Arabidopsis thaliana: one gene and its partner. The protein of the gene in region 1 interacts with the protein of each later gene in a pairwise test. Each region holds a gene or a part of one and is shown in the gene's direction. Other genes may lie near its edges.

Region 1 (3,152 bases):
CTCCCAATAGACTTCTCACAAAAGCCATATCTATTGTTTTTGTTTCGAATATTAAATTCTTTAAAATCTTCTGAAGATGTATGAAAAGATTCAAGTTATTGGATTGCTTGTTGTTTGTTGATGATTGAAAGAATGGGTTTATGAGTGTATATATAGAAAGATCAACTACTAATGAGTTGAAACCTCTCTGAAAAAATCATTGAAACTTGTGGTCTTGAAGTGTTGGACAGACTAGAACAGAGAACATGGTTCTGTCTCTACCATTTGGAAAAGATGCATTAATGCAGTTTGTCTTGATGAGATAATTAATTGATTGTGGGACATTAAACTAAAAACAAAATCCATATGCAATTCACAAGGGACTGTTTTCTCAATGTTTTTAGATAAAAGACCAGCAAGTTTCTCTTCTCCATGTTCTGTGATGATCCTATTTTTGATTCTCTGTGGTCTAAATGGATTTAATAACAACTTAAAAGTGGGGACCTGAAGTTTCTCAACAACAGAACAACATGTCTCCATCACTCTTTAAGCTGTTCCTTTTTTATGATATACACAAATAGAACCACACACGAAAATCAAGTAAAAGAATAAAGAAAACATCATCAAAATATATACCCCTTTAGTTTTCTTGCAACAGTATTACAGTAATGAGATCCTCCATGCCTTGCTTGTCTTTGAAGCAACTTAAGTACCTAAGTGTAAACATCGGTGAGAAAATCACTATGATGTTAGCCTTAAGGTCAAGATCAAGAATCTTCATTATTTTAAGCAAATCCTCTTGGTGATAAGGAATGTATTTACACATTATATCTATGACAGCAAGATGAAGTATTTACATTGAATAATCTATCTCTCACTAACTACTGTTAGTTATTCCTTCTTGCGGAACATCTTCATTGAAGCTGAGAAGTCAGATCGATGAAGGTATCTTCAGGACAATGGATTTTTAAGCTAGCCACCCATTGGATGATCGAATCCAAGCTCTTCCTTGGAATTACGGTGAAGAGCTTGAAATGAAGGCTGGTTTAAATATAAGACTGGCACCAAATATCTTTTCTTTTAGACCTGGTCTTCGCCAACGTACACCGCAAGAAACCCCCTTGATGCTGAAACTGGCCTTTTGCTTGTAGCCTCTATAGAAAATCTGATAATTTTCTTTGCACCCAAAAGACCTCTGAACAAAAACATTTCTTGTGTTTGGAAAATCTAAATTTGAAGCTTTAGAGAAAAACCTAGATGCTCAGATTCAAGCTTCGGATTGAATAGTTAGTTCTATCTTTAGATGTATAAATAGATTGATGGACTTCAAACCAACATGGAACATACACAAACAGAGTTACGTTTCACATGATTCTGTTTTCTCCATATTTTTATAATAAATGCAGAGAAGAAAGGAGATATTCAATCCTTTACTTGTAACTGTCATGTGTGGTCCTCCTATTTGAGGATATCAAAAAAGAACAACTTAACCCTAGACAAAGACTTGTTGTTCTATTGTTGAGCTACTTCAGGTCCCAATTTTAAGTTCTTATTAAATTGCACCACAGACATGAGGTAATATGATCATCACAGAACATGAAGGAAAGAAACTTGCTGGGCCTTCTTATTGACAATAGCATGTCTTATCTTAAAAACATTGAGGAAACAGTCCCTTGTGCATATGGAGTTAGTTTTTCGTTTATTGGCCCAAACTCAATTAATTATGTCATCAAGACAAATTTCATTAATGCTTCTTTTCTAGATTGTAAAGACAGAACCATGTGAGCTCTGTTCTAGTCTGTCCCACGCTTCAAGACCACAAGTTTCAATGATTTTTTCAAAGAGGTTTTAACTCCTTCATTGATCTTTCTATATATACACACATAAACACATTCGTTCTATCATCAACCAACAACAAGCAATATATCCAATAACTTGAATCTTTTCATCCATCTTAATAAGCTTCAAAAACCTTTTCGTACAAAAATAACAGATATGGCTTTGGTGAGAAGTCTATTGGGTGCAAAGAAGATTCTAAGCCGCTCCACCGCATCGGCGGCACCAAAAGGGTTTCTTGCGGTGTACGTAGGAGAGAGCCAGAAGAAGAGATATTTGGTGCCGCTCTCATACTTGAGCCAACCTTCATTTCAAGCTCTTCTCAGTAAATCCGAGGAAGAGTTTGGATTTGATCATCCAATGGGTGGCTTAACGATCCCTTGTCCTGAAGATACCTTCATCAATGTGACTTCTCGGCTCCAATGATCATGATGATCCGACATTTGGTTCTTCTGAGTTAGAGATAGACTTGATCCTTGTAAATAGATGATTTTTTTCTTTCCTTTTTCTCTTTCTTCTTGAAAGAGTTGTTCTCAAAGTTTTGAAAGTGGATGCCATTTTTTATTCAATAGACACGAGATCATGGTCCATGTTAATACATTTTGGATCGATTACCGGAAAAATAAAGGACAACGCCGACTGAATAACTATTTTAATTATACTTTCTAAAATCAAGTGAGAGCATTATTAATCTTCTTACCCACTGTCTTAATTTAGAAAAATTCTTTCTAATTCACTTTTCACACTATCTCTTTTCAATTTTACCCTTTTCTATTTACTATTTTCATTTATACCCTCTTTAAATTTTAATGACCATTTTACCCCTATTTGTAAATTGATTTAGGTTAATAAAATGAAGTATTAATATTTTTCGCCTAAAACATTCTAAAATAAAATTTCCCGCCAAAAAATTTCGGGAAAAAACTTCCCGCCAAAAATTTCGTGAAAAAAATTTCCCGCCAAATTTTTTTTTCAAAAACATTTTTCCCGCCAAAAATTTCGGAAAAAAAATCCCGCTAAAAATTTTCTCTGAAAAAAATTTCCCGCCAAATTTTTTTTCGAAAATATTTTCCCGTAAAATTTTTGTTTTTGGCAGGAAATAGATTTACAAGGGATTTTAAAAGGGTTTTAAAAGATTTACAAGAAATTTTAAAAGGGTTTAAAAGATTTACAAGAGATTTTAAAAGGGTTTAAAAGATTTACAAGAGATTTTAAAAAGGTTTTAAAAGATTTACAAGAGATTTTAAAGGGCTTTAAAAGACTTACAAGAGTTTTTAAAAGATTTTTAAAGGGTTCGAAAGTGTTTTAAAAGATTTACAAGGGATTTTTAAAGAGTT
Region 2 (4,233 bases), on another chromosome or scaffold:
GTTCCAAGATTCGTCTTTTTTTTTCAATTTGATTCCTGGGTTATCTGAAAGATCTTCTCTTTGCTTCGATTTCTATCTCCGCTGCTTGTGAAATCAACCTTTATGGTATGTAATCTCGAACTCAGCTAAAACACACTTCACTCTCGGAAACATGGAGACGGAAACGAATCAGGTTTTACGGAAACCGGAGCTAAAATCATACAGTCACAAACAATTTCACTCCTCAAATGCGTTAGAGATCTTAAGAGAAACAGTTCGAATTCTCCGGTACAATCTTGGTGCTTTAATGTTAACTACTGCTGTTTTGATCTGTCCTGTCTCTGCTTTGCTCTTACCAAACTTTTTAGTTGATCAATCATTAGTGAATAAACTCACAGTGAAGCTTCTTTTAGTGGCGAAATCAAGTGGTCTTCCTTTGCAGCCTTTTGTCAAACATTCTTGTCAGAAATTCGCTGAAACTGCTGTTTCGTCTGCAATGTGTTTCCCTGTGTTTATCACTGTGTCTCTGTTGTCTAAAGCAGCTGTGGTTTACTCAGTGGATTGTTCTTACTCGAGGGAAGTAGTTGATATAAGCAAGTTCTTGGTTATATTGCAGAAGATATGGAGGAGAGTTGTGTTCACTTACGTTTGGATTTGCATTCTGATTGTTGGTTGCTTCACTTTCTTTTGCGTTCTTCTTGTAGCAATCTGCAGTTCCTTCTCTGTTCTCGGCTTCTCTCCAGATTTCAATGTTTATGGAGCTATGCTAGTTGGTTTAGCCTTCTCTGTAGTTTTCGCTAACGCGATTATAATCTGCAACACTGCGATTGTGATCTCGGTTTTGGAAGATGTTTCAGGGTTAGGAGCATTGATGAGAGCTAGTGATTTGATCAAAGGGCAGATTCAGGTTGGTTTGTTGATGTTCCTTGGATCAACTTTAGGATTGGCGTTTGTGGAAGGATTGTTTGATCACAGAGTGAAGAAAGTTAGTTATGGAGATGGCTCTTCGAGGTTATGGGAAGGACCTCTTTTGGTGTTGATGTATTCCTTTGTGACACTTATAGATTCGATGATGAGTGCAGTGTTCTATTTTAGCTGCCGAGTTTATTATAGTATGGAAGCTTCTAGAGGTGAAACTCAGCCAATCATGGAAACGGTTACGGTTGTGGATGCTGAGTAATGGTGCGTTGTGCGGATCAAACTCGGTGAATGGACATGGAAACGTATTAGCTGAAGAAGAAGTTGTATATCATCAAATGGGGTTTTATTGAGCACTTTTTGTTTCACTTTGAAACTTGATGCATCTTTAAGGTTTTTGTTATATATGGTTTCTCTGTTTACATTGTTTGAAGATTATATAGCATCCCAAGTTCGTTCATAGTTCTGCTCTTGTTTCTTTTTAGCCAGTTTGATTGAGTCTTGAAAATCTTGGGCGTAAAATAGTAAAATTAAAAAGTAGGTGGGCCTTTATGCAAGGTAATTATATTACAAAGGACTTGAAATTAAAACCAAAAGTAAGAACAAACCGGTTCGCATGGTTTAAATAATCTGTGCTCGAGCGGTCAAATTGTAAAACCACCAAATAATTCTTCGTCTCCCTCACCGTCGCGGCGTCGCCACTCGCCGTCACAACCACCGTCGTTCAACATCACTGTCACCAAAAGAATCACCGTCGTTCGGTCGTGACGTGTCTGGACCTATTTCATCTCTTTGCTCGTGACTCGTGAGTCAAATACTCTTGGACCTTTGCTGTTATCTGTACCTCTAATTTTGTGATTTTCAGATTCCTTCTCGTTTATCGAGTTGGATTCTCTGTATTTGAATGTATTTTTGATAGGGTTTCGTTTGGAAACCAATTTGATTCTCATATTTAAAGTGTAGTTACGTGGTTTGTGTTCTCTCTTGGGGATGTTCACCACCTGTTCGATGAAATGCTTCTACGTATTAGTTTGATGCAATTTCTGTATAGTTTCGACGCTCTCCGAGCTTGTATTTAGATATTGATGGTTAGGTGACTCTAGATTCTGAAACGAACATTTCAAGGCTCTAGAAACTTATTCTGGACTAAGTTTATCAAATAAACAAGGGGATGGTTAGAGCCTTAAGCTTGATATGTTTATGTTCGCATTGCAGTAATGGAGGAGGGACGTCAAAAAGACTTGCAATTGTTGGAGGAGATTATCGACAAAGGTTTGAAACAGAAGCTTGTACATGCAACTGCTTCACGGTATTTATATTTACTTCCTTTTCAGATCAAAATTAAAATTGTGAGTATGATATTAAAGTGTATGTAGGATTAGTTTAGTTTGTTTTCTTTGCATGCTATTCACTTTTTGTTTGAGGTTTCGATTCATTGTGGTCTCTGCATTTGTTGGTTTTGCAGGGACAAGATCTTTGAAGAACAAAAAACACTGTATCCTTTTGTATAGGGAAGACTCTAGCTTCTCGTGATGTGCATCATCTTGTTAAGCTGATCCTAAGTGTTTTGTTAGTTTCTCCCATGTCTTAACCCTATCAAAGATGACGGGTTCATTTACCAGTCAGTTTTTGACTTAGTTTTGTGTTTCTAAATCGAGAGGAACTCTTCTTGGTGTAGTTATTGACAATACTTTGCTGTTCTAGTGAAATCTAATTCGGTTGAAATATTCTTGTTTCCTTGACGGTTACTCCCACTCCAGCTCTGACTTGCGGAAAAACCTAGAAACTCTGGAGAAGAATGGTGTAAATAGTCTCAAAACAAGGGTCAACCTTGGTTCAGAAGTTTACATGCAAGCTGAAGTGTACGTTACTTATAGCTTTGGTTCTTTCGTTTAATTTTAGTCAAGTCATTTAGCTATGAAAGGTCATGCATTGTCTGCATACAATGAAATACACTGTCTCCATACACAGCTTAATGCAATTAAGAAGTGTGCTTTTACTGTGTTCTGTATGTTAGAAGCTAGTTATGTATTATTGAGCAGAAAACGTTTAATAAATGGGGATTAAAATAGGAGATGCTTTCTACCAGGTTTGCTTCTGATTTCGTTTCACTTGACTTGGGTGTTTGTTTGAGTTCAGGCCAGATACTCGGCACATATTCATGGATGTAGGCCTCGGCTTTTATGTGGAGTTCACACGGCAAGAAGCTCTTGACTATATAGCACAAAGGGAGGAAAGAACTCAAAAGTAAGAGAAATCTTTGCTTTTCTAGTTTTCTTGCTCCATGTACAAGGAAAATATGGTTGTATCATTGTATATGATGAATGAGTTCTCCGGTGGAATGCAGTATAGTGACTGAATGTTGATGCAATATAAATGTGGTTTTTTTTGTTTTTAACAGACAACTAGAAGAGTATACTGGTGTTATTACGCAGATCAAAGGGCGCATCAAACTGGTAAGTTCAAGTTCTTATCTTGCTTTGTGATAGTAGTCAATCATTTGTCTTATGAGGTTGAATTGGACTAGAAAATCACTATTGCGTAGGAACCCTGCATCAGACGGATATATGAAAGTGTCATCGGATAAGTATTAATGTTAAATTACCATTGCAGGCTCATTACCAGATTCAGCAAATACTCAATCTTCCTGAAGAGAATCCGTCATCCCGGCAACGTGCGTTTTAGTACACTACCTAGTGGAAAGTTGAGGATTTTCTCTTGCAGTCTTATCTTCTCGATTTGTTCTGCTTACTGTTTTGAGTTTTTAAAGCAGAGAATTAACTTAGTTTGTTCAATACTAACTCTTTCTCCGGAATGGACCAAACTGTTGGTGTTAGATAAACATATCGATTAAGCAATCAAAACTTTATAGAATGACTATTGTTGTGGGGGTGAATAGTGAATCGCACTCTGTTAAATCTGCCATTTCTATTTTAAATATTAATAATCACATGTTAGAACTTAGAAGATCATTAACAGTTTAACACAGCTGATGAAGAATGAAATAAAAGTATGAACGAAACAGATACAAGATAATGATATTCCACGTCAGCAAAGTGTCCAAATATCTTCCGCTTCCCTGTCTTCGTCGGTCCCTTTTCGGTTTTCACGGTAAGGCTCGGAGGAAAACCTAATTCGTCCGGAGAATCTCCACCTCACTCTCGCCAAACGCATCTCTGTTGTAGGTAAGTCACGGATCTTCATTCTACGCTAATTGTTATTGTTATCGTTATTCTTGATCTGGGCGTTTTTGTGGAATTTGCATCTAAAATTAGAAATTTGGATACCAAAATCCACTCCAATTGAATAAGGTTTCTGAAGAATTTTCGTTTGATT

Evidence for each region.
Region 2: the proteins of AT5G18030 (region 1) and AT1G26660 interact in a two-hybrid assay, tested with the Arabidopsis thaliana proteins (one large-scale study listed by BioGRID).

What each region holds. Positions count from the first base shown.
Region 1 is NC_003076.8:5,966,553-5,969,704, forward strand, and holds AT5G18030 (SAUR-like auxin-responsive protein family), read left to right. Parts: upstream 1-1,799; 5' UTR 1,800-1,974; coding exon 1,975-2,241; 3' UTR 2,242-2,638; downstream 2,639-3,152. Other genes in the region: SAUR20 (SAUR-like auxin-responsive protein family), read right to left, coding at 1-28. UniProt on the Arabidopsis thaliana protein: Functions as a positive effector of cell expansion through modulation of auxin transport.
Region 2 is NC_003070.9:9,210,184-9,214,416, forward strand, and holds AT1G26660 (Prefoldin chaperone subunit family protein), read left to right. Parts: upstream 1-1,580; 5' UTR 1,581-1,702; intron 1,703-2,112; 5' UTR 2,113-2,114; coding exon 2,115-2,206; intron 2,207-2,321; coding exon 2,322-2,426; intron 2,427-2,657; coding exon 2,658-2,759; intron 2,760-3,036; coding exon 3,037-3,144; intron 3,145-3,298; coding exon 3,299-3,353; intron 3,354-3,510; coding exon 3,511-3,582; 3' UTR 3,583-3,692; downstream 3,693-4,233. Other genes in the region: AT1G26650 (Son of sevenless protein), read left to right, coding at 152-1,159.